4 linked regions of the Tamandua tetradactyla genome follow. The protein of the gene in region 3 interacts with the protein of the main gene of each other region in a biochemical or structural test. Links are inferred from orthologs where the notes say so. Each region holds a gene or a part of one and is shown on either strand. Other genes may lie near its edges.

Region 1 (7,014 bases), on a different chromosome or scaffold from region 3:
ATTATTAAATGAAGAGGTTGTCTTCTTGCCAACCTCTACTTGCTCGAGTAAAGAAAAGCTAGATTTAATTCTCAGAATAACTGAGTTCAACATTCAAATATCAGAAACTCTCAATTTGAGACAGGAAAAAAAAAAGGGAGCTTTATAGACTATAACCAAGCTGGGCTCCCACAAAAAGAAAAGTGACGTATTCCACAAAGAATAAAAGCTGTTGGTAATTGAATCATATACCTCACAAAAGACTAGTTCAAGTCTTAATCAACATTCCAGCGGGTGTGAACACAGATGTCAATGATATATCTGAAAATGTTAAGTGAGTCAAGAAGTGGACTCATTTGAAAATAGGATCTTGTATAGTCCTTATATAGGTGTGATCAAACTGAATGAGGGTAGGCCTTAATCTATATGACAGGAGACCTTATTAAAAGAGGAAATTCTGAAGCGCTCAGGGAAATCAGAAGTCAATGAAAGCCACAGAAGGAGAGAATGAAGCAGAACACCATATGACAGAGGAATGCCATCACCAAATTGCTACCCATTCCAGGAGAAAGTATGGCCTTGCTAATATCTTGATTTTGGACTTCAAGTTTTCAAAACCATGAGACAATTTTTTTAATGCTTGTTATTTAGGCCAATCTACTGTATGGTATTTGTCATAGCAGCTCTGGCAAACTAAGATAAAAGGTCAATGTCCAAACCTTGAAGGCACTTCAGATTGTAACCACTGCCTTTGAGGATTCTTCAGATCAACCACAGTTTGTACAAAATGGTAGGAATCATATAATAATATATGGAATAAGCCAAAGAATCATGAACTGTTAGAGTAGGAAGAAGCGTCAGAAGTCTTCTAGACCAAGCCTTTCCTTTCAGTTGAGGAAGTAAGCACAAGATAGATGCCAAGCTTCTTCTTGTCTTCCCAGACACTCAATTAATTGCCATTCATTATTTCCCTTGCAAGAAGCAGGATCAGGGAGGAATAGGTTCTTTTGCCTTGCAAAATGTGCCCAAACAGTAGAAGCTACGTGCTGCAAAAGTAAACTATTGGATTCCTGGTAGGATATCATAAGAAGTGAGAATGCTGCATACAAACAGAAATGCATACTTGTAACCAGTGGCTTTTCCTATTTTTCTATAGAAAGAAAGATCCCTATGGGATGACCAAAATTATCTGGAAGTTTCTAGTGATAACTGAGTTCTTCCCTGTATATTTTCATATGATACAATGAAGAAAAGCTGAATTTGACTCTTAGACTTCTCGGGAGTACCACATACCACGTAGCCAGCTCTGGAAAGTGATAAACAGGAACTTGACCTTTCCTTGACTTCCAATGACTTCTTCATCCAGGTTCAATACTAGTTTTGAGGAGCTATTGTCCTAAGCTCTTAAATTCATGGGCTCTCATGAAAATGCTTAGGAAAATTCAAGAAGCCACACCATGGATATATTCATTCATTGTGGATAAATACACATACAATAGAGAAACTGAGTCTCTAATTAGCTAGATATAATTGTTCCATTTAAGTAGTGCCCTGGAGTTTATTTTAACTCCAATGATTCAGAAAAATGCTAACACTAAGAAGTTAAGGTCTGCATTGTTTTCATTGGCTCTATGAAAAGAACTAGGGCCAACAGATGAAAAGCAAAGAAAGACAGATGTTGCTTTAATAATAACTTTCATGTTACCTTGAAAAGTCAATAACTATTAAGAATAAGAGGAGAAATTTACATAAAATAAGAAAAATGAATTCAAGAGATTTGAGCATAATAAATGAACCTCTGACAAAAGTTTAGGAGCTCAAATGGAGCAGATTAACTATGAGTGTGATATTCTCTTAAGTAAAGTCTACTTCTAATTTTTTATAACAGGAAGACAAAGTATGGCTTATTCTGAAAGTCACATTTTATTACAAATAAATGTAATGGTTAAGCTATCGAAAAATTCTAAGAGGTGATGATGGGAACAGAAAGAAGTGGAATGATTTCAGAAACATTTCAGAGATAGAACTCATAGGACTTGATGATTTATTTATAGCCCAGTGGAGTTAAGAGTGTGTGTAGGGAAGGGGGCAGGGGTGAGCGCTGAGAGAAAGAGGGAGGCTAGCAGGGATAATCGTAGATTGAATTGTATCAGAATTACATGCGGTGTTGTTTAAAAAGAAGAAAAAAATCCACACTGAATTCATATCCCTAACGGAAATTGACGTTTTTATTTAAAAAAGGGGGGGGGGGGGCAAAAAAACCCTGGATGTTTTGAGGCGGAACTAGGTTTGAGAATTGCTATAACAGAAGTTCCCTCAGGCTTCTTTCCGCTTTAACATTCTAGTTGAGGCTCTAAATGACTTTCCCAGAAAAGAAAAGAGAGGAGATCCTAGCACTACGAAAACAGCTATGCATTCCGAATCCATACCGTTCATGCTCCCAGTTTTACTAAATGGTCCCTCATAGGAACTGGGATAGAGCAGGCAACGGAAAGAACGGTGTGATATCCACGGTAAACTGGCTTAAAAACACGTGTGCCTTTTCTTCTAGGTTTTTCTGCCCCGTTAATGGGGGAAAAAAAAAACTTTCCTAACTCAAATACGCGGGGTAATCCGAGTGAAAGATGAGATGAATTGCTGAGTCCCGTGTCTGGGCAACGATGTTTGTCAAAATATTTCTTTTAGGTACCGGCAAGCGTTGCAGGAAAACTCTAGGTTGGGGCCTGCAAGCTCCGAGACCAAGTGAATCCGGCTGGGCAGAAGCGTCTGCTATTCACTTATACCCCCAAGTCCCCAATTCAGGCAGGACCCGTTTGGCACATACCTGTAGGTCCTCTGGTAAGGCTGATCTCTTCTTCAGTGATCAAATAATCCACTCTTCCATTCATGTTTTACTGCTTTGCTTTCCTGGCTTCCCACTTGGGTTAGGTAGAGCTCCTTACAGGTGAAGGTGAATCAGTCACCCCTTTACACCCGCCTATGGTACAGCACTTTCGGTTTCAACAGCCTCCGGACCGGAAGGGGAAGTGGGGGGTGCCTGGAGCGCTGGGAATGCTGGGAGTCGTGGTTCTCGTCCCGACCCGGTGCGTCGCCTCACCCGCTCTTCCAAGCCAAACCTGAGGTGAGCAGGGAGCGGTTGCGATCCTGATTTACTGTTGAAAGCATGGAGAGGCATTGGAAAGGTAAGGGACAGAAATGAAGTGTTATGCTTGGGGAAAAAGTAAAAATAAAATACCCTGCCAACCTAGAAAATCTCCATAAAAAATAGAAATGAAAAAGTGTTTTATTATTCATAAGTATTAAATCTGTCTGTAATGCATATTACAAGCAGGCAGCTAATGAGATTGCAGACAGAAAGAACCCTCACTTTTTTATATTTCCAAACAGATGTAATCAAGACCCTTTCTCTTGACCAAACTGCCAGCATTACTCCTTCATTTGCCCCTACCCGCTTCCTGCCCCTGACTATCCTGAAGCTAATTTTGGAGTTGAGGGTCAGCAGAGAAAAACAACTCGGACTGCAGGGGGGGAAAGCAAAAAAAGAAAGAAAGAAAACGTCGGACTGTATTCTAAATATCAAACTTGCCCGGACCGCCCGGTCTCTCTCTTTCTCACACACGGCTACTCAATAAGGGATTCGCCCGTTTTCTCTTTCCCGGCCCTTCTAGGCTCCAGGCCACCTAATAACGCAAATGAAAACATTGCAGACCTAGTAGTCCTAATGGCAACATTAGTAAATCCCTTACTTATCTAGGTGGAATCAAACCACCCTAAATGCAACCTCAGTTAATTGCTCACCTACCCCAGTGATCAATCTCTCTTACTATTTTCCAGTGCTTTTCTTCCAATTGACTCCCAGCCCTTAGATGGAATTGAGTTCCACTCTCTCTCTCCTGCTATGGTAGCCCCTAAATAAGTCATCTTTGTCTGCTTAACTTTGTCTGGTGTAGCTTTGTGCCGCCCCCCCCCCCCCCGCCCAGATATAGTTCATTGTATGAATGTTCTCAGGTAAGACTACTTGACAATACAGTTTGGTGTACATTATTTGGTAATGCACTCTGCAGGTGGCCGTCTGCATTAATTAATAAATGAAAAATAAAACTTCCCTATCCTGATGACAAGCAAGTACTTACCACTTAGAGGAAGGTGCATAGACTAACAGCGTCTCTGGTGATGGGAGATAGAGATACTATCATCCTTGATATATGTATTTCAAAGAGTTGGCTCCCAGACCCTTAAGAAAAATATCTTTGGGATGTACCAAGCGAGAGGCTTATTTAGCTTTTGAAAAGATTTATACTCATATCAAAGGGACAGAGGAAGGATTTACAATGACAAGTTTTCTCAAATTCTCTAAGAGAGAGGGGGAATGTCCGTTTCTCTTTTGGCAACAGAAAAATTAAATCTTTTAAAAATTTACCCTTACTATATATGTACTACCTTGTTGTGATTTCAGCCCAGCCCTCCTGACTTTTGGGATAGGACATTCCAGATTCAGCTTAAAGGAACCTGCTATAGTCAAAAACTCAAAAGCAGTAAGGACCAGGAAGGTGACTTGAATGTGTGGCACAGCCTTGAGCTAGACTCTAGGGATTGGTGCAGACCATGAAGGATTGGAAATTGAAGTCCAACATAAAGGAATTCAAACTCAGATTTAAAAAAACAAACCAAAAACTGTATTCACTAAACAAAACAAGACAGAGGCATTCAACAGGAAAACCTGTTTGCTAACCCTGAAAGAAATTAGTATGGATAATGGAAAGAATATAGGAGATGATGCTAGAAGACATGATCTCAAGTTTCAGTTCCTTCTCCTTCCTGTTGTTTGCTTTGGGCAAGTAGCCTAACATCTCTGAACTGTTTCCCCATCTGAAAGAGTGTGATAATAGCTCTTTAAAAGACTGTTGAATGAATTAAATAAGATGAAATTTTAAAATTTATTTTTTCAACTTAAAAATCAGTCAGGAAAAAAAAAGCTCAATCAGATTCACAACATCCTCACTTCCAGTTCTCCTCAGGAAAACAGCTCAGTTAATTTGATTCAACACAAATTTATTAAGCACTTGATAATGTGTCAGGCATTATGCTAGATGCTGTAGATATAAAATTAAAAGATTAAAAAAAGAAAAGAGGAAAAAAACATCTTCTACTGTGCACGTCTCTTTCAGTTTAGAAAAAGAAGTAGAATGGTAAAATTACAAATTATGTTAACATGGTAGGATATCTACAGTAATAAAGGCATTTACAAGAAGCAAAAATATAGAGTAGTCTGAACTAGGTAAGAATTCACCATGTCTGGGAGTAAATCTGGTAGTGACAGAGAAAATTTTATTGGAGAGTCATGGCTGAGTCAGGTTTAAAAGAATAAATGTGTCAGTTGACAAAGAAAGAGGAGGTCATTCTGATGCCAGAGAGCCCTCAGGAGTTCTCCAAGAGGTGGAGACCTCAAGCAGGGCTGACGCCCTGAGCCTAATTTTTAAGTCATAGGAAGGAATTCAAGGACTAGTCAGTGTGAACAGCAAGAAAAGTTTAATAAGTGGCAAAAGTACTGGCTTGAAGGGGGCGAGTGTCTACTGGGGTTGGGATTCCTGCATTTATAAGGACTTGGAGGGACCCCTCCCCTTTTGTTTATGCTGACGAAGGATAGAGCAGCATTTCTCATTGGTTCTTTTCCATTGCCAACTGGAGTGAAGAGTAGATGTTCATGTACCAAAAGGAACTTCCTGTTGTTTTACTCTTTGCTAGTGATGGGTCATAAAGTCACCTTCCCCTCCCTCCTTCCCTATCTGCCACAATTCTAGCCAAATGAAACAGTGTGTTAACAGGAAGAGGGCTGGGAGTGTACGAGCCTTACAGCATCCGGGCGGATCGGGTCTTTCCCGTGCTGCCGGCCCACCTGAGTAGTGTTCCTTGCCCATTCCCGCCCTTAACGCCGCCGCTGCCCCTGGGGGCTTAGACGTGACCTCCCAAGCGCCCGGTAGCTTCTGTTGGGTCAGTGACATGAGCGATCCACCAGGGTGCTTCCTCGGTGCCACCCAGCCAGTTGTGCACCCGAGTGGCCGATCTCTTTTCCGTGGCCTCCGGTTGGTCCAGGAGAGCTCATGCATCACCTACACGGTGACCCAGCCAGACCCAAGGTCTGGGCCGAACACGCACCACCAGCACCTGGCATCATGAGGCACCTGCCCTACTTCTGCCACAGCCAGGTGGGGCTTCAGTCTTGGTTCCAAGCAGCTGGGTATCCCCACTGTTAACTTTACTGAACAAGTAGATAATCTTCCAGCTGATATAGCCAATGTCATTTATTATGGTTGGGCCAGAGATGGAAGTGGAGATGTCTATAAGATGGTAGTGAGCATAGTATGGAACCCATAATACAAGAATACGAAAAAGTCCATGGAAACTCACATCAGGTATACCTTCAAAGAGGAATTGAGGAAATACTCAATGTGGTGGCTGTTGGCAAACTCAGACCATAAAAGAACTTTGATTCTTTAGAATCACTTATTTCAGCAATAAAAGGTGATATTGAGGAAGCGAAGAAAGGACTAGAATTAGCAGAACATTTGAAATTTAAGACAATTTCTTACAGATTCATAAACGCAAAATAATGAATGGCCACTGCTGAAAAATCATCTTATGTATTTGGTCTAGTTTGCTAGCTGCCAGAATGCTATTTATCAGAAATAGAATAACTTTTTAAAAAAGGAATTTAATTTTTCAGGTTTACGGTTCTAAAGCTGTGAAAATGTCCCAATTAAAGGAAGTCTATAAAAATGTCCAAATTAAGGCACCAACAAGAAGTTATCTTCACTCAAGAAAGGCCGATAAAGTTCAGGGTTTCTCTTGCAACTGGAAAGCCACATGGCGAACATGGTGACATCTGCTAGCTTTCTCTCCTGGCTTCTTGTTTCATGAAGCTCCCCCAGGGGCGTTTTCCTTCTTTATCTCCAAAGGTCTCAGGCTGCCTGGACTCTCGTGGTTCTCGTTTGCTCTCTCTCTCTCCAAAATGCTTCCACTTTTAAAGAATTACAG
Region 2 (7,917 bases), on a different chromosome or scaffold from region 3:
TGGGAATGGAGATGTTGAAGAGCAGGAGATGCTTCTGGAAGGGGAAGTCTTCCGAGGTGGTTATGGAAATGGCATCTGCAATGCAAATACATGTGGGAGGCCCCGGTTTCATGGCATCAAAGCCTCCAGTCTCCTGGTTTCCATGAATGGGGGTTGGGGGGCGAGTTACTGTGCATTTTTGGCCCTTTTCAATCTTGATTCAGTTTCCCCTAAGCCTTTAGGGTAAAAGGGTATTTTGAAAGGAGAATTGGGGGTCTTCCAAAGAAAAGTCAAGGCAGGAGATGCCTCGAATGGGGTTGACAGTTCTTAACTGTTTATGACTGCCCATTATGGGCCAGTCACTGAATGAGGAGCTTTACGGAATATGTTTCCATTTCATTCTCACTCCTACCCTAGGAGGGTCTAATTCCAGTTCTCCAGATGTGGACACGGGGGCTCAGAGCACTTAACTGCCAAAGTCTGCCCGTTTCACATGTACGTTGTTAAATCTTAAGGATTTAGACATCTGAAGGATTTAAACGCCCTTACCTGTTTCATGTAAACTTATGTCATAACTTAAGAAAAAAACTACCAAATAAACAAGACAGACAAAATCCCTGTCAACCTTAGAGTGAAGACCCCGAGTACGTGATTCTAAAGGGACGTTGAAATTACAACATTAGGACCGTGCTAGTTTCAGCAGCTGAAACAGTTTTAGAAATCATTTGGAATGGTGTCTTCCAAGCCTAGTGCATGTGCGTGATTTTCTTGGTGTTTTGAGGGGAAGAAAATTGGTCTCAGCTCTATTGGCATTTTAGGTAAAAATAGGGGCTTTCTGTTTAACAGTCAAATTGTCTCAATTTCTCCCTTCTTCTGTGGTGACATGTGGCCATTAGCAAGTTCTATTATGCCCTGGCCAGTTCACAAAGAGAAAAGGGACATGTCAATCTATGAGTGCCCAGGACGGGTCCATGTGAATGGGAAATCCTGTGCTGCTGTGAAAACTCACTAGGCTTTGGGGTCGGGCAGACTGAAGAACTGTCTCTGCCTCTCACCAGGGCTGTGACCTTGGAGTCCTGGATCTTGCCATGCCTCAGTTTCCTCATCTATAGAATGGGGGTCGTCTTGCCTTCCTCCCAGGGATAAAGTGAGACTTAACGAAATGCTGCGTGAAACTGACCCAATGTCTGGCCAATGCTCAATAAACGTTTCTGTCTCCCCCCTGCACCCCCTTCTTGCCCACGCCTGCCGCATGCTCTCACAAAGCATGTGCTCTCCTGGTTCCCTTACTCAGCCTACAAGCACCTCTTGGGCTCCTGGAAGATGTGACAAGCTGCCGCATGTTTGCATGGCAGGAGCTGTGGCAGCCCTCGAATGTGGCTTTGGGATGGCAATCAGACATCTTGGAAGCGAGTTCCCTCCCTCCTTCCCCGGGCTCTGACCCTGCCCAAAGGGAAGCCCGATTCCCACCCGCAGGTAAGCTGGGATCTGACCACAGGCGGCCCAGTGGCCGGCTCCCTGCTGAGATGGGGCCAGTGAGACAGCCCCAGGCTGCTGGACTCACAACTATGGGATTTAGGGGAAAAAAGCCAAAGAAGACCAGCTGGCCCTAAAGCGGGGTTCACCATTGTACCCCTGGGCCTGGCGGGATGCTGGCAGTATCAGGGTGACCCGTGACTGGCATTTTTTAAAAAAAAAACAGGTAAGTTAATCTAAACCCAGATTCTTCTTCTTTTGAGCAATCAGATGATCTGGCCCCACTGGGCAGGCATATGACCAAGCTGGCCAGCTGCTGGCACCTGGTTTACAGACCCGGGGTTGAAGCCTGGGGAACGGGGCGGGGAGGGCTCTGCGCTCTGGGCTGTTCAGGAGGGACTGGAGGGCTGGGTTGAAGTCATGCCCCTGAACCTCACCTCGGGCAAATTCCCTTTGCATCTCCAGCCTCATCATCCCTTCCGAAAATCATTTCACCCTACTTCCTGTGGGGTTGAAGCCAGTGAACTGCATTGCCCTGAGGCAAACATTTGCTAGCTTCTAGTCTTCCTAGACACTTATTTCAAACAAACATTAGTTCTTTTCCAAGCTTTTCTTTCAATGGTTTTTACCTGAATTTTAAAAAATCATGAGGGAGAAATAGAGCGTTCTTCAAACATGCCAGTTAGTAGGGGATTAAATAAGTTGAGTGTTTGTAAGTCAGAATGGGACAGAAGAGGGAGAGGGACAGGGAAGGGAGAAAGAGGAAAGGAGGGAAGGGAAGAAAAGAGGAGAGAAAGGAAGGGGAGAGGAGAGGAGAAAGGGAAAGGAAATGGAAGGGAAGGGGAAGAGAAGGGGATGGTAAGGGGAGAAAAGGAAGGGATAGGGGAGGGAAGAGGACCAGCAGGAAGGGAAGGGAAGGGGTATAAGAGATCCAAGAAGGAGAGGGAGCACTGTGAAGCAATGGGGCTCGCAGAACATTCTGCATTGACAGAAATGTTCTATGATCTGCATTGTCCCACCCAGTAACCATTAGCTACCCATGGTTATTAAGCCCCTGAAATGCACTTAGTGAAACTAAAGAACTAAAGTTAAATTTAGTTTTAGTTTAAAGGTTGGCTTTGTTGGCCTCCTGGGGCTGGTGGCCAACCCATGGGACGGTGCAGCCCGGGACCGCCGACCCCCACACCCTCCCCGCCCCGTGCAACCCCCGCCGTACCTTCCACGCTGAAGCTGCGCACGATGTTGGAGGCGGGCGTGGCCGACCTGTCAGAGGTGTACCTGTTGTACAGGTCAATCATGTACTGCGGCGGCTCTGCTCTGCTCCTGTCCTGGGCGGGGACCCCGCTCAGGTTGAGGCCGTGCAGGAAATCCACCCGCATATTCTCCAGAAGCATCTTCAGGTCGAAGCCCCCCACCCCCGGGGGGCCTCCACGCGGGCCCGGGGCCTTGGCCCCCCCAGACGCCCGCCCGTCGCCTCCCAGCGGCTTCCCCCGCACGCAGCAGGACAGGAGGGCCAGCGCGGGCAGGGCCGCCCGGAGACCCCCGCCACACATCTTGGGGAGGCGCTCTGGGCCCCCCGGAGCGGGGATGGCGGCAGCGCCCGGGTGCCTTAGCGGGCTCCGGCGCTGGCCCCGAGGTCCCGCATCGGCCTGCCGCTCCCGGCACAAGCTCTCCGCGCCGTCAGAGCGCGTCCCCCTCTCGCGCTTATCTGGCCCTCGCTGCCACGCTCGACCCCTTATCTAGCGACTCTCTGTGTTAATGAAGGCTCTATAAACATCTGCCCAGGGCGCAGGGCCTGGGGAAGGCCAGTGCACACTGTGAGGAATCCACATTCTCCGGGGGGTTATCGCCCCCTAATTAGGATTCCTTCCCATTTCCTTGCCAGCTCTTGTTCTGAGCAATCCTGGGGCCCGGGGGCGGGGGGCGGGGGTGGGGTGGGTGATGCATCCTCCATCTCTCAGGCCTCAGAAACTTAAAGCACCCAGGAAACAAGGGATACCAGAGAGGTTTCCGAATATAGAAGCAACAACACCAAACGCCTAGGGCCACAGACGCCTGCTGGGCGTGGAAGCAGATCCTGCCTCTGTGTGCCTCAGTTTCCTCCTTTGTAAAACCAGCCCTGGAGCATTAGGCCACATGCATGGATAGGGCATGTCTAATTAGATCTGGTGACAAAGACCCTCTGGTGACAAAGATGCCCTCTCTTATTCGTCCTTGAGCAATGACCTCATGGAATCTCTTTGAGCTTCTAGGTTGGCACCTGGAAACTGGGGCTCAGGGTATTTATTCCAGAAGATGGTGTTCAGGATTCAAAAGGATGGGGGTCTGAAGACTTCAGGGTGGTTCTCACAGGGACAACACAGGGCAAGCCTCGGCTGGCTGGTGGTTGGTGGAGCTCTAGCTCCCACCCGGGTCTGGCTGAGCTTGGACATGGTGGGGAAGCCCCGAGCCCCCCAGTCTGCTCAGCAGGAACACCCCAAACCAGCTGCTGTGGCTGGAGCCCCTGCATCCCAGGCTGGGAGGCCCTGCTCATGTGAATCGGGCAGCCGCCGGGGCCACATCTGTCAGCAGGAAAGCAGGGCGCTCTGGGCAGTTGAGGAGGGGAGGGGAAGGGGCAGTGCCTTGACTTCTGGTGCGGAGGCCGATGGGTGCCTGGTTGGACCTCTGACCCAAGGAGACTATGGCCTGAGTAGAGAGGGGCCTGCCAGCCCCCCAGGGACTGTGCTATTTTGAGAGCAGGACACCCTTAGATGGCGGCACTGAGGCTCTGTCCATTCGTGTCACGTGTGGCTTTGACCAAAGCAAGGAATGCTGGGGAGGATCTGAATGTGATATTGTCTGCCCCGGTGGGGCTCCCGGGGAGAGGCTGCAATGAGCTGAGCTGGTTCCGGAAGTTTCAGGAGGGGGCACAGCTGGCCTGTGGTCAGCAAGTCCACGTGCATGCCCAGTTTTCTTTCCAACCCCTAGTCGGGGAAGGTGAGACCAGGAGTTACAGAACGGTGGGTCCTGGACAGAACTTACTTGCTGTCCCATCCTTTGGGGATACTCCTGGGGAGGGGGCGCAGCTTCAGAAGGGCTGCTTGGAGAGGGAGCAAGAAACATGTTGGGTGTGGAGCCAGCTCAGTGCAAAAATTCCATCCAGCAGAGGAGATGAATGGTGCAAAGCTGGGGACTGCCAGGAAGTGGAGCTGCGACTCGCAGAACAGGGAGGAGGGAGGTACTGGGGGCTAGGCAGGGTCCCTCACCCCACTCGGGTCCCTGGAGTCACCTGAGATGCCTCTCATATCGAAAAGGCTGAGCAGGGGGACAAGCGGCAGCCACCTGAAGCTCTCAGGAAGGGTTAAGATGCTGCTACTTGATATTTAAAAAATGTAACAGAATGTTTCATTTTTCTGATGATGATGGTACTACAGGGTGGGAAAACTATGGAAACTGCAGGACATGATAAAGAAGGAAATAACCCACAAATCTTGTTGCCCCGCAAAGCCGCAGTTGAGATTTTGAGATGCAACTAGCTCCACAGTTCTCTGACTGGAGACCCCCTGGCCAGGAGCATTTGGAATTCAGGAAGTTTTATATTTGGGACATTTAATATGGCACGAACTTTGTAACATCTCCAGTGCAGCTGGGGGTAACACCCTGTAATCGAGAACAGATCAATATTTTCTGCAGTGAAACAAATAAATAGATATAAATGTCCTTTCAGGTGAAGTTTTGCCATGAAAGGATTTAAAAGACACTTTGGATTTTGGAATGTCAGGGAAAGGACTACGGAATTGTTTTAAAACATATGCCCCTGGAGGCTGGACATGCTTGGAGCTGCATGGACCCTCCTGTGGGTGTGTAATGCAGCATCCTTGGATAATACATATTTCTGGTGTTACCTACCCCCAAAACTAGGGGGTCCACAGCTCCTTCAGTGCTTTTTTTTTTTCTGGCATGGGCAGGGACTGGGAATTGAACCCAGGCCTCCAGCATGGCAGGCGAGAATTCTGCCACTGAGCCACCATTCCCCACCCCTCCTTCAGTGCTTTTTAAATAAAGTGCTGGAGGCCTCCAGATCCATTTTGCCAGGACTTCTAATCTTTCCTTCTTGGGACATCCCTTTCTGGATTGTCCAAGGGCCCCAGGAGTTTATTTAACCCAGAGGAGATGAGGGTTGGAAGGTGACAGCTTCTGAATGTGGGAAGGTGGGGTCCCAGCAGGTCCCATCTACCGCTGGGGATGGGCCCTACACATCTAACCACTGCTTGCACACAGCTGCCAGGGTGCTCCAGCTTCTCCGGGTTTCTCCCCAGGTGATGGTGACATCTCCTGGGGGCACCAAGGGCACAGTTTTCTAGGCACACTTAGTGCTAACCCATCCTCCTGAAGGCACAGCTCTGTGGTGGGCAGCTGGGTGGAGAGAAGAGGCAGCCGTGGCAATGCTCCAGATTCCAACCTGCCCTCCTTGACAAGCCATATGTTTCTATGGTGAGCCTGGGTCACCTACCCCAACCCCCACTTTTTTCAAGGTGATTTGATTTCAGGAGCCTTGTTATCTTTTGGTACACATAGGTCTGAGTCTATCAGAACAGATTTCCCTAACTCTGGGCCATAGGGGAAAAGGTTTGAGCCTTGTTCTGCCTTATCCAGAAGATCCAGGATCCTCTCGCAAAAGGCCCCCCTCTCGCTCAGTGACCGGCTGCTGTTTAGTGCCGGGGCCTCAGGGAGGGGCAGACTCGATCGAGCCCGAAAGATGATATTGACCTCAAGGAAACAAAAGCAGGCGCTTAGATATTTATGTACCAATGTTCGCAGTATCATCATTCACAATTGCCAAAAATTGGAAGCAACTCTAAGTGCCCATCCAAACGTCAACTGATGCAAGGATAACTATGTGGCATATGCATACAACAGGATGCTTTTCAGCCATGAAGAAGGAATGTGGTTCTGAGACATGGAACAACATGGATGGATCTTGAAGACATCATGTTGAGTGAAATAAGCCAGACGCAAAAGGACAAATAGCTTATGATCTCCCTGAGATGAAATAACTAGAAAAAGCAAACTCACAGAGTTAGAATCTAGGTTATCAGGGGCTGGGTGGGCGGTAGGAAACGGGGAGTGAACACTTAATTTGCACAGAATTTCTATTTAGGTTGATTGAAAAGTTTTGGAAATGGATGGTGGTGATGGTGGCACATTATTGTGAGAACAATGAGCAACAGTTATATATGTGAATGTGGTTAAAAAGGGAGACTTTAGGTCATATATCTTTACTAGAATAAATATTAAAAGATAAAACATAGGGCTGTGCAACACGGTGAACCCTATTATAAATGATGGCCTATAGTTAATTACAAAATTACAAAAATGTTCTTTCATGAATTATAGCAAATGAAACACTATTACAAGGTATTAATAATAGGGCGGTATATGGGAAAAAATACACCCTAATGTAAACAATGGACTATAGTTAGTAGTACAATTTTAATATTCTTTCATCATTTCTTTGGGTCTTGTTCTGTCTTTTCCAGAAGATCCAGGGTTTTCCTGCAAAATGTAACAAAGGTACCACACTAATGCCAAATGTCAACAACAGGGGGTATATGAAAATGCTATCTATTTATGTATCTGTGTATACATCTTTTTTTTTTTTTTGCATGGGAAGGCTCCAGGAATCCAACCCAGGTCTCTGGCATGGTAAGCCAGAATTCTGCTACTATATTTTACAGGTCATTACACCACCCTGTATTTTTCACATGATGTTTCTGTAAATCTATAACCACTAATAAAAAGAAAAAATTAAAACTATATTGTATTCAGCTCTTCTTTCCCCCCCTCCTCTTCCCCCAAATGGAGTACTATTTTTACCACGCCACTTGGATTTTCTAGGGAAGTCCTTCCATGCCATTATTCAAAGACTGAAGACCTGATTTATAATAATTTTATGTCTGTGATCTTACACACAGGAACCACTGGCAAAAAATGTAAGAGACACTGGGAAAAAGTGTCTGTAATTTTTGCCTTAGATTCATACTTGAAGTCACTTGGGGTATCCAGGTGTGATGTGCACAAGCTTGGACTATACAGGTATGCTCCTTACTTTGTTTGTAAAGTTGTGTATCATTTAAATTCCTGTTGTTGCATGTCGCAGGAAAGGAGAATTCAAACAGGCTTAAGCAAAAAAGGATTGTGAGTGTCAAATGGGGGCTGGAAAATTCAACCGCGATTCGGCTTTAGTACAGCTTGAGCTCCAGGACAGGCAAAATCATAGCGATTTTTCCTCCTCTCTCAGCCCTGCTTCCACCGCCATGGATCCCGATGATCCACCTCTGTGTCTACAAGGATGGCTGGGAAGGTCCGCATCCATCATCACACCTCCAGTGGGGTTGGCAGGGGAAGGGGGGAGCGGGCAAGGTGTCTTGTCTGGGAAGTCACCGTGAAAGTTTCCTGGTATTTCATTGGTCCTGACTGTAT
Region 3 (7,704 bases):
CTCCAATGATCTTAACTTACAAGCAACACTAACTTAATACTACACTGAATGAATCTCAAAGAAATTAGAGCCAGCTGTTATATTTACATATCAACAAGCAATTATAATATAGAATAGTGAGCAATACACAGAGGTAAGCAATGGGGCCGAAAGATAGCATTTAAGTCTTCAGATATTACTAGTGGAAACTAATTCCATATGGGTTAGTAATTTCCATTGCAGAAGCAAGAATCTCAACTCAGGCTGGGAAAGAAGAACACATTTTATAAGGTATGCCATCTTTGCATTCAATTAAACCAGGAATCTGTCTCTTAGGGTTTTTTTACTTTTCTAGTTAAGAACAGCCTTCCCATCAATCCTTTTCTCCTCAAGATAATTTCAAATCAGGTTAGAGTTCAGAATTAGCCCGAATTAGTTTTCACCATACTTGTTAACTCAATATATAAAAGAAACTAGATGATTTAAAGACACATATTATGACTTTTAAGTACTTATATTTGGTAACTAAATCTGGACTAACCAAATGTTGCTTAATGGACACTTTTTCTTAAGAGAATTACTTTTAATTAGCATATCAAAGCTACTAGTCTCCAAAGCCAAGAATGCTGTTTGTAACACAATTTAAAAAGCAGGTCCTGTTTTACTTACACCCACTAATAAACTGCCACCTGGGGTCAACCCTGCTGGGACCCAGGTGGCGTTGCTACTTCGGTTTCCCTCTTCATTCCCCGTACAGTTAAAGGCACGATTATGTTACTTTTCTCCACTAACCCTCAATTCTCAATTTTTTGTTATGTCTATTAATTAAAAGTCCATACTGATGGTAAGATATAAAGGAGCAGGGTTAGTAGTACAGAGGAAGAAAGAGAAAAAAGCAAGGCAAAATGATAGAGCCTCCTCCTCTCTTATATATTGCGTCGTTCTTCATATAGGATCCCTAACCATTTCCTTCACTCCTTTCCAGTGGTCCTAATCTTATTACTTTAGTCAAACCATTGTCTTAAGAAATCAGGTGAGCTACCTGAATTGGGACTTTTTTCCCCGGTGAAACAAACTGAAGTCATGCATGGCTTCTTTTCCTGCAAGGAGAACATGGCATAATGGATGAAGCACATATTCTAAACTACTGTCAAGCCTCTGTTTGAATCTCAGTTATGAGGCTTATTAGTTTTATGATCCTGTTTTTTCATCTTTAAAACAGGTAATTTCCTCATAAGGCACAGCACCAGAAACACACTATAGCAGGCAGTGAAGAGGTTTTTTTATATTTTTCATTTGGCTCTTATATACAATAACGGAAAATTCCAGGATCAGTGTGGTAGTTAGGTTCAGGTGTCAAGTTGCCTAGGTGATGGTGCTTAGTTCTATTGCTGTGGACCTGAGACAATAGCATGTAAACGTCATCTGTTGCTGATTACGTCTGCAGTCAGCTAGGAGATGTGTCTACTGCAATGAATGATGTTTGATTTAATTGCCTGGTGCTTAAATGAGAGAGTTCAACGTAGCACAGCCAAAGCATTCCTCTTCTCAGCACTCACAACTCAACCCAGGCCTTTGGAGATGCAGAAGGGAATCACCCCGGGGAAAGCTGTTGGAACCCAGAGGCCAGCAGAGACCGCCCTGTGCCTTCTCATGTAAGAAAGAACCTCAGTTGAAAGTTAGCTGCCTTTCCTCAGAAGAACTATAATGTTAACTAAAGAGTATATAATACTCTTTTATTGAAAGCCAATGCATCTCTGGTGTGTTGCATTCTGGCAGTTAGCAAACTAGCACAATCAGTATCTCAAGTCCTGTAGAATACAGCTTTGATATTCTCCTGACCAAAAACCACATTAAGAAATACATTTTTCACTGTGACCCAGTACATACACACATATAATAATATTACCCTATTTATGAGTCATTCTAATATTTCCTATTTTATTACTTTCTTACTTTCTCCAATGGGTTAGGACCTACAATTTGAAAACAAACTAACTTGCACTCTATCTCTCCCCTCACCCTTCTGCCATGCTCTCCCCTTTCTAATCAAATACATAAAGCTCTTTTTACACATATTCACAAAGCTGATCCTCTAATTCATATGAAATTTCAAGGGCCCCCAAGTAGCTAAAACAATTTTGAAAAAGAAAAAGTTAGAGGACTCACATTTCCCAATTCCAAAACTTTAACTACAGTAACCAAAACAGTGTGACACTAGAAGAAGGACAAATAGACCAATGGAATAGAATTGGGAGTCCAGAAATACACGCACACATCCGTGGCCACTTGACTTTCAAAAAGGGTGCCAAGTACATGCAGTGGGGAAAGATGTCTCTTCAACAAATAGCGCTGGGAATACTAGATTTCCACTGAAAAACGAAAGGAAGTTGAACCTTTCATACCTCACACTATATACAAAAATCAGCTTGAAATGGACCAAGAATCTAAACATGAAAGCTAAAATCATAAAACCCTTATGCTATAGGGACAAATCATCATAACCTTGCATAAGACACCAAAAACATGAACAATAAAAGAAAAAAATAGATGAGTATGTGTGGTAGTTAGATTCAGTTGTCAACTTGGCCAGGTGAAAGCACCTAGTTCTGTTGCTGTGGACATGAGCCAATGGTAGGTGAATCTCATCTGTTGCTAATTACATCCGCAGTCGGCTAGGAGGCGTGTCTGCTGCAATGAGTGACGTTTAACTTAATTGGCTTGTGCTTAAATGAGAGAACGCAATGTAGCACAGTCTAGCAGCTCAGCATTCCTCATCACAGCACTTGCAGCTCAGCCCAGGCCTTTGGAGAAGTCACCCTGGGGAAAGTTGTTGGAACCCAGGGGCCTGGAGAGAAGACCAGCAGAGACCATCCTGTGCCTTCCACATAAGAAAAGAGCCTCAGTGGAAGGTTAGCTGCCTTTCCTCTGAAGAACCAACAAAATAAATCCCCTTTTATTAAAAGCCAATCCGTCTCTGGTGTGTTGCATTCCAGCAGCTAGCAAACTAGAACAGAGTTGGTACCGGAGAGTGGGGTGCTGCTACGGTTTGCAAATGCCAGATCTGTTGGAACTGTGTTTTGGATGGCTAAGGGGAAGACTTTGGAGGAACTGTGAAGAGATTGATGGAGAAGTCTTGGAGGGCTTGAAGAGACTGTTGGTGTAAATGAAACCACCGCCAGTCTTGACAAAGGAGGACACAAAAGGGAGAGGTTGGAGTTTGCAGAGTGAGAACCATGGAAGTTCGTGTCTGAAGCCAAGAAACCTCGGCCAGGAGAGTGGGCCCACCTGTATGTGTGGAGAGGGTGAGTCTCCCCTCTCATTGCAGTGGAATAGTTGTGCAGCCTCGGGCCTTGGAAAAGGCATAGCACGCTCCTTGGGGGACTGGGAGAGCCTGGCTGCCACCATGTGGAGGGGTTGAGCGTGCGCCCCAGAAATGGCAGAGAGCCCAGGGGTGGCCCTGATGCCTGGAGAGAGTGGAGCCCAGAGGTGGTCTCCTCGATGTTCCCCAAGGTTGATTTGGAAAGAGGCCGGCCACTGCATAGGCCCTTGGAAGGGGTGGGACTGCCACTTTCTACAGCCGAAGGATAAATGACTTTCAGACTTGGAAATCCAATGGTGTTTGCCTGCAGATCTTCCTTCCAATTTCTCCCTATGGAAATGAAAATCTGTATCCTTTGACTATCCTCCTTTGCATATTGGCACCGGACTTATTTTGAGATTCACAGGTCCACAGCCAGAAGAGAATATTTTGCACCTGTTTAAGGTGATGTGAGTAGCTGCCAAGTTGACAAGGGGTGGACATGTGGTAGTTAGATTCAGTTGTCAACTTGGCCAGGTGAAAGCACCTAGTTCTGTTGCTGTGGACATGAGCCAATGGTAGGTGAATCTCATCTGTTGCTAATTACATCCGCAGTCGGCTAGGAGGCGTGTCTGCTGCAATGAGTGACGTTTAACTTAATTGGCTTGTGCTTAAATGAGAGAACGCAATGTAGCACAGTCTAGCAGCTCAGCATTCCTCATCACAGCACTTGCAGCTCAGCCCAGGCCTTTGGAGAAGTCACCCTGGGGAAAGATGTTGGAACCCAGGGGCCTGGAGAGAAGACCAACAGAGACCATCCTGTGCCTTCCACATAAGAAAAGAGCCTCAGTGGAAAGTTAGCTGCCTTTCCTCTGAAGAACCAACAAAATAAATCCCCTTTTATTAAAAGCCAATCCGTCTCTGGTGTGTTGCATTCCAGCAGCTAGCAAACTAGAACACCTTATGCTATAGGGACAAATCATCATAACCTTGCATAAGACACCAAAAACATGAACAATAAAAGAAAAAAATAGATGAGTATGACTTCACCAAAATTAAAAACTTTTATACATCAAGAAAGCAAAAAGACAATCTACAGAATGGAAGAAGATAGCTGCAAATTATATATCTGATAAGAGGTTAATATTCAGCACATATAAGCAACTTCTACAACTCCATAACAGAAAGACAAATAACCAATTAAAAGATGGACAATAGATATTTTTACAAAAAAAAAACAATTAAAAGATGGAATAGATATTTTTACAAAGAAAATACACAAATGGTCAATAAGCATATGAAAAGCAGCTCAACATGGTTAGCCATTAGGGAAATGCATATGGAAACTATAAGAAGATACCACTTCAAACTCACAAGGATGGCTATTATTTTAAAAAGGAAAATTAAAGTGTTCAAGAGGATGCAGAGAAATTGGAACACTCGTGCATTATTGGTGGGAATGTAAAATGGTGCAGCCATTGTCGAAGGCCTTGCTCCAGACCCACACTGTCCAAGAGAACTCTCTGTAATGATGAAAATATTCTCCATCTGCACAGCCCCACATGGCAGCTGAGCACTCAAAATGTGGTGAGTGTGATGGAAGGAGTGCAGGTTTAATTTTATTTCATTTCTAAACAGCTTTATCAGGGTATGATTGACATATAAACTGCACATATTGAAAGTAAATAATTTGATACGTCTGGGCATAAACCTGTGAAACATTAACACAGCCACCCCAAAGTTTTCCCATGCCTTTTTTTTTTTTCATTTTTTTTTTTCTACATGGGCAGGCACCGGAAATCGAACCCGGGTCCTCTGGCATGGCAGGCAAGCATTCTTGCCTGCTGAGCCACCGTGGTCCGCCCTTTCCCATGCCTTTTGATAACCCCTCCCAAAGGGACACTAGTTCCAAAGGGTTCCGAGGTTCAGCCCAGTGCAAGTGAGCACTTTAGCTGAGACTCTTCACCAAGGATTAGAGAATCTTCACCAAGAAAACTCACCTTTCCTCGCCTCCAGCCAACCCTGTGACCTCTCCATCATGCACACACTGAGGACCCCATGTTGGAAGTAAGTGCAACAAACATCCACCTCAGATGGTTCCTCAGAAAGTTAAATATGGAATTACCATATAACCTGGCAAGCCCACCCCAGGTATATACCCAAAGAAATTGAAAAGATGGACTCAACTTTCATAGCAGTGCTGTTCACAACAGCCAAAAGGCAGGAAAATAAAACAGTTGTCCTCAACAGAGAAATGAATAAACAAAATGTGGTACATACAGACAATGGAATATAATTCAGCTGCAAAAAGGAATTAAGTTCTGATATAAGCTACAACACGGATAAACTTGGAAAACATTATGCTAAGTGAAATAAGAAAGGCACATAGGGACCAATATTGTATGACTTCATTTACATGAAATGTGTAGAGACAAACTGGGGAGACAGAAAGTAGATTAGAGGTTTCGGGGGGATATGGGAAAGTTGTCACTTGGTGAGTATAGTATGTTGCTAATTTTTGTAAATTTCTGAACTTAAAAAGAAAAAAATCAACTTATTTTTAGTCTTGCCATCACACCACTCTATTGGAGCCCCCAGAAGCTTAGAGATGGCTACTTCCCAGAATGTAAAGTTCAGCAGGCAGAGAAGACAAATCAGGGAAGAAGGAAATTTTGATAATGCTGAGGAGAGTGCCGGTGTTCTTTCTGGACAAACAAGGAAAACTAAATCCATTTTCCTTAGAGACAGTGTTATTCCTGGGGTAAAACTGTATTGCTGAAACACAGAACACAGGAAGTAAAACTGGCTTGTGCACTGGTCTTGGCACTTAATCAACACATATAACAATGATTCTATAAGAAAATACTTCCTAGGTTCCAAGCAAACTTTTTGGAACACAATATATTTCTAAGTTGGAGGAGGGATGCTACCAATACAATATTCTTTGTCAGAGACAGGCAAACTATATAGCCTGTAGGTCACATTCAGTCTGCAGACTGTTTTTGTAGAGCCCCCTAAAAAATGGTCTTTATATTTTGAAATGGTTGAAAAAAATCAAAAGAATATTTTGTGATACAAGAAAGTTATATGAAATTCAGATTTTGGTGTCTAATAAATAAAGTTTTATTGGAACACACTAATAGTCACTCATTAACAAAATATCTATTGCTGCTTTCATGCAACAAATGCCAGAGTTCAATAACTTCAACAAAGGCTGCCTAAAATATTTACTATCTGGCTGTTTAAAAAAAAGTCATGGACCCATGTCCTACGTGCTTGAAAGTATTCAATATTCATTTACAAATATTTATTAAGCACCTATTTTGTGCCAGGCACTGGGGAAACTATAGTGATGAAGACAGATAAGTCTCCTTCATAAGTATTAATGGAAGGTAAAAGAGAAAAAAGCTCAGGAGGAGTTAAAAAAATACATGGCTTCTAGGAGAAACCACCAGAGGACCAATATGGCAAAACATAAGGTTGTAGATGGGCCATATCATGCAGTGCCTTGTAGGCTGCTGTAAATAATAAACATTTCTCTAACATTTTATATGCAGTTGTTTACAGATTAGGCCCTTTATTCACAACTTAAAGATAAATGTGTATCCATAAAGCACCACAAATCCTGAGTCAGAAGTGTAATTATAGTTCAGTTGAACCCGTCCTGTTGCTTTCTACTCCAAATAATTAACATATCTGATTTAACATTTTGAAGTTTAAAGAGTTTCATATATATATATGAAACATATATATAACACATATCATGTATGTGTATATATATATTTTTTTTTCAAGGTAAAAGATAAATGTATGTTTATTAGACTCCTAAGAGCTCCTTGTTATAAAGACTTTAGTTTAATAACTTTTAATTACAAAAGCAATACTCATCAGAAATAATTATAAAATACATTTTAAAAAGAAGAAAATAAAGCCATAAATTCACCACTAGAGAGAGGAAATCATTCATATGTACCTATGTAGTCTTTCTAGACCATGTATGTGTATATATATATGTATGTATTGTGTGCATGCCCTCACTTCTGTGTGTAGCCTTTCATCCCCACTGTAATCTTGTAAGGAGGTTTTATAAACTCTACTTCACCAATGAAGAAACTAAGGTTAAATTTTCCCAAGGTCACATCATATATCATCACACCCTGGTACAGAAAGGCTTTCTCCCTGTAGAATGTTTGCTCTTTCTATTACATCAGTGAAAAAAAATTGCATAATTACTTTCACTGAATTTGAAGGTAAAGGAAGTTCTTACAGATGTTTGTATTTTCGAGAAAACTATCCTTGCCAACAACTAACATTTGTACCAAGTTTTATTTCCATTAACCAGCCCTTACTGGCAAATCTCATGCTGTTACATGGCAGAAAATTCTATAATCTGTAAAAAACTAGGTTTATCTACTCTTCTGCTA
Region 4 (7,965 bases), on a different chromosome or scaffold from region 3:
CTCTACTCTGAGCCTATCTCAGACTCAAGCACAAGACAAGAAAGTCATTGTGGAAACAATAAGATTGATTGTGGAATTGATCTCCCACGGGGATTAGATAGGGATTCAAAACCTTCCAACCCAGACCCAGATCAACTGTAAATTAGAAAGACTTTAGGGCCCTGGGCTTTGATTTTCCAATACTATCTCTGAAAATTCTGTCCTTGGCTCTGTCTAGCCTGAAACCCTGGCTTGGCACGAGAAGAGATTTATAGAGTAAGGGCTTCCAAACAGACAAAGAAATCCCGATTCTTACCCCCTCCCCTCTCTCCCTATGGAATTCTTGCACGTTTAGCTGACCAGGGGGCATGCCTTCTGCCCTCATCTTCCCCATCACTTGCTTTCTCTCCAGTTCCTGGGGGAGGAGTCGCCCTTCTGGCTGCACGCCAAAAAAAAAAAAAAAAGGTACAGCTTTACTAAGGGGAATCCCTGGCTCCCCCACTGCACAAGCAGTGCCTTAAAGCCTGGTTCCAACAGCGACAAGAGTGGAAACACCCACTGCTCCCTGGCCAAAGTGCCCTTCCAGGAGGGCTTGGTGCGGTGACTCCGCGGGCGGCTCACCTTCGTGGTGGAAGCTGCGCACCGTGTTGGCGCGACTGGCCGCCCTCTCCAGCCAGTGGTCCGGGGCCGGCACTCCCGGCTGGCCCGAGTGCCTGCGGTACAGGTCCAACATATAGGGGGGCACCACGGCGTTTCTGCTGGGGGTGGGTCTCTGCTTCAGGCCGAACATGCTGAGCAGCCGCAACTCGAACTCGCTCAGGATGTCTTCCGAGGGCTGGGACAAGGAGCGGCCCGACGCCGCCGCGAACTTCCTCCGGCCCAGCTCGGGTATGAGGCTGGCCGCGCCGCCCAGGAGGACCTGGGGAAGCAGCAACGCTAGAAGACAGCGGGTCCCGGCCACCATGGTCGACCTGCAGACAGGATCGACGGTGAGTCACCGAGTTCCCGGCACAACATAACCCCTGCCCCTCGTTCGGTCTGCTGCCACCTCCTCCACGGTGCCCACCTGGCTTGCAACACTAACTGGGCTAAGTCAGAGGAGCTGACGCTCGGATATTTGGGAAGAATGGAGGGCCCCTCGTTCCACAGCCCTATGGCTTTCCCCCTCCCATCTCATTCTCAACCCATGTGCCCTCGGATTTGGGTTTCACCCCCGCCCCCATCGTTGCAGACTATCACCTCTTTTCTGCGACACCCACGCTGACAGCAAGTACAGGGAACCTGGGGAAACTGCCCCTGGATCCGACAAATCTGCGTCCCCTATACAAACCCCAAACACACTCACACAGCGCTCGCTTGCATATAAACATGCAAAAAATGGTGCATGTGACTTCCTTAGAGGCACCGTATAGACTTCCTGATACACACACCCACAGTCTACAACTTCCAGACCCTGTAAACTCAAGGCCACAACTTCCGAACAGCATTCGCAACTTGTGACCCACGCCCCGAACTTCGGGGGCGTCAGGGTAGGCTTCCCCACCCCCGCCCACCTCTACCGCAGACAAGATACACATACATCTCCCTGGGATTACGTGAATGACTAATAGCTAATGTTTCACGTGTCAGCTGTTAAAAATACAGTACAAGGAGGCACTGAAGTACTTCCCTCCTCGCATGTCTGGAAACACAGGGAGAACCCCAACTTCTAGTGCTTTTCCAAATGGAACGTGGCTCCACATAGAGAGCTGGTCTCCGGAAAAAAAAACTTGGAGAAGATGGCACTGCTACTGCAGGGGTACAGGTTGGCAGCTAACGGGTGAAATCCAAGGGCCACCCTCTCTAAAGGATTTTGATTCTCTCTTTTTTTAAAATCATCTAAGCGCTAACAGCCCTAATAAAATACCCAGGGGGTCGGGGGTCGAAGAGTGACAGACAGGCGGGCGAGATTACACAGTGGCCGGGGGCGGCAGGATGACGGCACCCCGCAGGGGTTCGGCTGCACGTGGACCAGGAGGGCGCTCTGTTTACGTCCACTCAGCCCGGCCCCTGGGACGGCTCAGCCGCTGCGGCCGTCCGAGCCCCGCGCGGGTCCCGCGTCCACCGCCCCCACCTCCGCTCCCCTGCCCCCCGCCCGCGTTCTCTACCTTTAGGAGGCCGTAGACCGTCTAAGAAGCACGCGGGGACACGTCCATTGAAAGAACCTCCACATGGAAAAAGCTCTGGCCGAAGGACCTGGCGCGGGAACTGGGTGTCTGCTCCCTTCCTTTGCCTTCTCTGCCTCCTCCCGGGCGCCTGCTGGGCAGCGGCCCTCTCCGCACTGGGAACGGCGTTTAGGGGTCCGGACCAGCCGAGGAGCAGACAGGCGGCGGGGCTCAGGGCCGCGAGGCTGGCCCGGCTGGGAGAGAGGCACCGGCACGAGAGCAAGTTATTCTCCCTGCAAGTTCAAGAAGTCTCCAGCCAAGTGCTGACACACAACAACAGCGAGCGGGGGGAGGACTGCGGGGCAGGGAAGGGAAGGGAGAAAGGAAAATCTGGTGCTGTCGTCGTCTTTAGGAACCAGCGCCCGCGGGACGCGTGGCCCCGCACAGGGCCGGCTCCGGGACGCAGGGGGCGAGGGTCGGGCGCTCGGCGCTAGCTCCGCCGCGGCCCATGGCTCGGGGCAGCCATCCTGGGCGACGCCGGTTCCGGGGAGGGGTGCAGCGGCTGCGGCGATCTCGGTGCCGGGCGAGTTGCCCCCCCGCATCACTCTGCCTTACTCCAGCGCACCCCCATTAGCGCTCCACTAGCGAAACCGCCGTGGTTCCGGCGCCCCGTCGTACTCGGGCGCATTCTCCGGAGAGAGAGTCGAGTCGAGTCGAGTCCCCGAGCCGCCAAGGCGGGGTGGCCGCGCTCTTCGAATCCCCCGGTGCCAAGTGCCCTGCCCTTTGTGGCCAGCCTGATGTCCGATCACAACTCAGGCGGCGCGTCCCGGGCCCCAGCACCGCGGCGGGGGGTGCTCGGCATCACGGCGCTCGGGCTCGGCTCCCAACTCCCCGGCGTTCTGCGCGGAGCTCCGCGGCTCTGTCGCGGCCCGGACAGCCGAGGCCACGGCGCTGCGGCGCGCACTGCCGGACGCTTCAGCCCGATCCGAGTGCGCGACGCGGGGGTGTCTCCGAGCCCCCGAGGAATCGGCGCGGCGCTCGCCTCCAGGGGCGTCCGGGTCTGCGGTGGCGGTGGCGGCGGCGGCGGCGGCTGCTGTCGGGCGGCGGCTGCCAATCCCCGGCGGGTTGTGGGAAGCTGAGCGGCGGGCGCAGCGCGAGCCGAACGCGGCGCGGCGGGGCGAGGACTCCGGCGGCGGCGGCGCCGTGGCGCGGCGCTCCCGGCTTTTAAAGGGGACGCCGCCTGCCGGCTCCCTCCCGGCGGCGGCCGAACACCTCCCCCTTGGCTGCGCGAGCCGGCGCAGTGCGCGGGGGATCCCCGAGCGGGCGGGAGCGGCGCGCAGGGGTGTGGACGGCGCGCCCGAGCAGCGACGGCGGGTGGGGCCGCGAGCGGGAGCCGCGTGGCCGAGGGGGGCGCTCGCGCTTCCAGCCCCTGCCCTCCAATGGGAGAGGATCCCGAGCGCCCGACCTCGCGGGGGCTCCCGAGGTGAAATCCGGACAAATAAAGGGTCAGGCCCCAGTTTCCCCGCGGGGCCCGTTATTCAACTTTAGTTTGAAGGTTTTTTCAGTAATAGGCGATTAAAAAACAAACAAACAAAAAACCCATCCAAGTTCGGGGGGATGTCAAAACGGTGGAGTAGACACGTCTGTGTTTTCCCGGGGTGGGGGTAGGGGGGGAGAAGAGAAAGAAAACCTTAGGCTGGAAACTGGGTGTGTTTAAACCCTAACACTTTGGTGTACATAATTATATCGTGTATGTAGATGTAGGAAAACTAAGACGCATTCCATTAATATGTGTATACATGTGAAATAGATGTCAACCCGCTGTATATGACAGATGTGCAAGTGGACTGTGTGTGTACCAGCCGAAGAGGACAGGAAGGAAGGGTTTTATCTTTTTATGGCAGCAATCACTTCGAGCTGCCATATCGATATTTATCTCGCCTGGCTCGGGGGCATGAGATTAGCAGCCCAGAGGACAGTAAAAAGCGCACAGCGTGAGCCAGGCATACAAGATAATTCCGGTTTGGAACTTTAGAAACTTCTGACCCACCCCCCACCCCCCACCCCCCACCCCTTCCGCCCCGCCTCCAGCAGCGAGGCTATGACTTGTGGTCAAGTCGCTTTTCCTCTTGAGCTCACATATTCCCCAAAGCTGCTGCCCTTCTGCCTCCTGAGTCTCGGGGTCAAGGCTTCTTTCTCTCCCAGAATTCCAGGAGTCCCAATAGGTAGCGGTGACCCAGTTGTCCACATGATCCCCTAAGCCGAAAGCTGAAAAATTCTGGGAAAGTTTTGGTTCCCCAAATCGGTTGGCTTGCACCAGAGCCTTGGTGCCTGCAAGCAAAGAGATAGAGAAATCAGATGCAAGAACTAATAATAATCTATTATTCCTGTGTATTATTTTTCGGTTGGGAAGTTAAAATAATTCTAGGTTCTGCTCACATAAATCGGATTAGCAACCCACAGAGGGGAATTAGGGACTCATTGTTTCTGAAGGTATAAAGGTCAAGTAAGGTATTTTGGAGTAAGTTTGCCTACTAGGAAACTAAAAGGGGAGTTTGTGTGCAAAATATACAGAAACGTTTTTCTCTATTCCCTGAAAATAAAGCATAATAAAAGCTAATTGTCATTCTGAATCATTCCACACCGGACAAGCAATAAAACATATTCTTCTCATCGACCCAAGTCAAATAGTGTTTATTGTGCTTTTGAAACGATTTCCTTTCCTATCAGGTTTGAGACGTTAACAGCAGGTTCCGTTATTGGTGAGCTTTCAGTTTCGAACCTATGTAGCCTTGAAAAAGGAGGGGCAAGTTGATCGCTATTGGAAGCACCCCAAGCAAACACGGAAACCAAATTTTGGTGATGACATCAAAGATGTTTTGCAGCTTTAGGCCTTCATGACTTAAGAAAAGAAGCTTGTCTGTTTATGGACTCATCTTTGTTCGTCAAGAATCTGAGGGAAGATGGGCACTGCAGGGCCCTCTATTCAATTTCCGTGTTGCCCATCACAGGATCTCTTCTGGTGGGAATGCAATTGCTGAGAGGCTGCCGCATGCCTTTCCTAAGCACATCTTCCTAAATTTTGGCCTTTCTCCCTTAAGAGCCTGGCTCTCTGGTTGTTTTTTAGAGATGGCTGCCCTCTTGTGGTGGAAATGAGTCAGAACGCCTTCGTGGGGGTGGGGGGGGGGGGAGTCAATACATAAATAAAATAAAAATCATCTCCTAAGGACTGGTTTGGGGTACTACGTCCTGGATGGCCACATCTACTGGTTTTCCAATGCCAGGCAACAGAAATAGTTAAAAACGACACATCTAAATGGAAATAATCTTCCTTTCTTTCATTCTCTTTGTTATTGACCTCCCATTACTTTGAGGGGGCAGTGTGTGTTCGCCTTGAAGATACTACTTATGACTAGCCTTTGTCAACTCTACATTTCTCAGTTTCAGTCAAAGTTATCTCACCCAAATGGCAAGATTCATTCTTCCTTGGTATCAAATTTGGTATGTCTGCCAATAGATGGGGGTAAAGGGGTGATTGGAGGAGAGGTGGTGGTTGCAAATTCAGATGCCTTAAAGGGGATACACGAAAAGCATGCCAGGTAAGGATTCCACATGCAGTAGGTTGTTGCTACTCCATTCCATTTTTCTTGCCAGCTTTTCAACAGATACAGGAAATCTGCATTTGATTGTGTACGGACATAGCCCAAGGTGAAATTAATTGCTTAAAGAGTCATCCTTTGGCAACTTTTCCTTTAGCAGTCCAGCCCAGATAATGTTTAATTTTATTGCATCCTGCAGCTGCTAGCATTCAGCCTTGTTCTTACTAGACCAACCATTATGCAAATTAACATTAAAATAATGATCCCCGCATATTGTAAAGGTCACAGCAGGCATTAAATAATCCATTTACCTTGTAATTGTCATTCTGTTGAAACCTGTGGCAACTTCCCTGAGAAAACTCTTGGCTTTTTAGCATACCTATCATTTACTTCCCATTGGGACACCAGATACCAGTTCTTCACCCAAATGAAGTTCTTTCTGAGGAACCTGGAACCACAGAAAAAGAGCAGCGTCTACTCTAACAAACTCTTACCTATTTGGTGTTTATTTAACTGGACATGGTAGGAGGCATGGATGGAGTGGACATGTATGCCAAGTCAGAGTCCCGGCTTTCAGGCAAATATAGGCTATAATTAAAAAATGTCATCGCTTGTACCCATCTGTTGATAGGGTAAATAGGCTCTGTTCTGCCGCCTCAACTGGTAATGATGGGCTGGAGAATTTTTAAATGTTTATACAAACACAAGATGCCATTTGCTACTTATCTGTGTATCTTTAAATATAGTTTTCAGCTTTCTGCCTGAAATATGGCCTGATTTTGAAAGATAAGATTTTGTATGTCTTTTGTTGTTTTAACAGTTTTTTCTTTTTTTTATCACATTGCTGTACGGTGAGGTATTATGTCATAAAGCTCAACACCTGGATCGATCTAAAGCAATAACTAATCTCCTTTCCTCAGCTTCCTCAGGAATAAAATGTAGAGATCAATATATGACCTTCTCATGGGACTGACATGAAGAATGCATGAAAATATATATGCAAAGACAACAAAAAGTTGCAAAATTTGAATCACTATATTTATGCAAACTAATGTCATTTGTACTTAGAAGTTATATTTTTGGCTTATGTTATTTTTTTCATACTCCATAGAGTCCAAAAATATGGGTTGAATGAATACATGCTTCTGAAAAATAATTATGTCTTCCCAAATACGTGATTTTAGATAGCCATTAAATATTATTTAGTTAACATATGTCAATATATTTGTATATCTAGTCAGTGTATTAAAATGTGTTGATCTTTTGCTAATTAGATTACAAAGCGCCCACATGGTATTTCTCTTTGCATATTCATTCTACAAAAATTTACTGAGCAGCTAGTATGTCCATGACATTATGTCACTCAGGTCCCAGAGAATAGAAAAATACATAATCTTTGCACGTAATGTACTTAGAATTCAGTGGAAGTGATGGAACATGTTCACAGATTATCCATATAAGGCATATGAGATAAGAGTTTCAGAGAAGTGAGAAGCAAGTGTGTCAGGTTTAATGGAGAGCAATCTCACTTTGAAATGTGAGTCCAGTAAATTCATAGTAGAGAGAGCATTTGAAAGGAATATTTCAGGGAGAACAGAGATTCAGTAGGATTAATACTTTACAAATGTCAGCAGTAGCAGTAGCAGGATTTCCAGCAACATCTTTAGTTTCTGAGTTTAAAGAGTTTTACTAGCTGCTTTCTGTTTGTTGTTTCAATGGATCCTCAGAAGAACCTTGCTCATTTGACAGATGCTTAGAAAGGTTAAGCCATTTTCCTAAGATCTCACAACTAGCATGTAGGAAGTCCAATAGCCCATTCTAGAATCCATGCTAATGGTCTCCCAATTCCAGACAGTAGGAGCAGCCAAAAGCCAAGACATCAGGATAGGAAAATGTAGGCTGCTGTTTTGCAGGGCACAAGGAAATGGTTCAGATTTGGAGGAGGGTTTGGATCGGGGTAAGGTAGTTCTAGAAGATTACTCAACTCTCTAGGCAGGGTCCTGGCAGAAAAACGAGGGCCATGCCAAAGAGGCCGTTTCAGAGCGTTTAATAAAGAAATATTTTGCAAAGGTGTGTGTAATGATAAGGACTAGTGATGTACCCTGCCTCTACACTGGGAAGCCAAACCAGGACAGCTGCAAGGGCACAGGAAGAGCAGCTTCTGGAACCCTGAGAATGCGTGTGCTGAAGGAGAAGGCCACTGGGCAGGAGTCTCTTCTAGAGTGCTGGCAGGAAATGAGGCT

Evidence for each region.
Region 1: the proteins of ACVR2A (region 3) and SYNJ2BP form a complex in vitro, tested with the Homo sapiens proteins (2 studies listed by BioGRID and IntAct, with this or other methods). The link is inferred for Tamandua tetradactyla from reciprocal best matches to the Homo sapiens genes ACVR2A and SYNJ2BP.
Region 2: the proteins of ACVR2A (region 3) and GDF2 form a complex in vitro, tested with the Homo sapiens proteins (2 studies listed by BioGRID). The link is inferred for Tamandua tetradactyla from reciprocal best matches to the Homo sapiens genes ACVR2A and GDF2.
Region 4: the proteins of ACVR2A (region 3) and BMP2 form a complex in vitro, tested with the Homo sapiens proteins (3 studies listed by BioGRID and IntAct, with this or other methods). The link is inferred for Tamandua tetradactyla from reciprocal best matches to the Homo sapiens genes ACVR2A and BMP2.

What each region holds. Positions count from the first base shown.
Region 1 is NC_135338.1:28,569,448-28,576,461, forward strand, and holds the start of SYNJ2BP (synaptojanin-2-binding protein), read right to left. Parts: upstream 3,003-7,014; 5' UTR 2,868-3,002; coding exon 2,804-2,867; intron 1-2,803. UniProt on the Homo sapiens protein: Regulates endocytosis of activin type 2 receptor kinases through the Ral/RALBP1-dependent pathway and may be involved in suppression of activin-induced signal transduction.
Region 2 is NC_135339.1:8,348,211-8,356,127, reverse strand, and holds the start of GDF2 (growth/differentiation factor 2), read right to left. Parts: upstream 3,009-7,917; coding exon 2,672-3,008; intron 76-2,671; coding exon 1-75. UniProt on the Homo sapiens protein: Potent circulating inhibitor of angiogenesis. Signals through the type I activin receptor ACVRL1 but not other Alks. Signaling through SMAD1 in endothelial cells requires TGF-beta coreceptor endoglin/ENG.
Region 3 is NC_135329.1:117,679,262-117,686,965, reverse strand, and holds the start of ACVR2A (activin receptor type-2A), read right to left. Parts: upstream 3,004-7,704; 5' UTR 1,116-3,003; coding exon 1,022-1,115; intron 1-1,021. UniProt on the Homo sapiens protein: On ligand binding, forms a receptor complex consisting of two type II and two type I transmembrane serine/threonine kinases.
Region 4 is NC_135327.1:54,115,590-54,123,554, forward strand, and holds the start of BMP2 (bone morphogenetic protein 2), read right to left. Parts: upstream 3,004-7,965; 5' UTR 2,127-3,003; intron 951-2,126; 5' UTR 944-950; coding exon 601-943; intron 1-600. UniProt on the Homo sapiens protein: Growth factor of the TGF-beta superfamily that plays essential roles in many developmental processes, including cardiogenesis, neurogenesis, and osteogenesis. Induces cartilage and bone formation.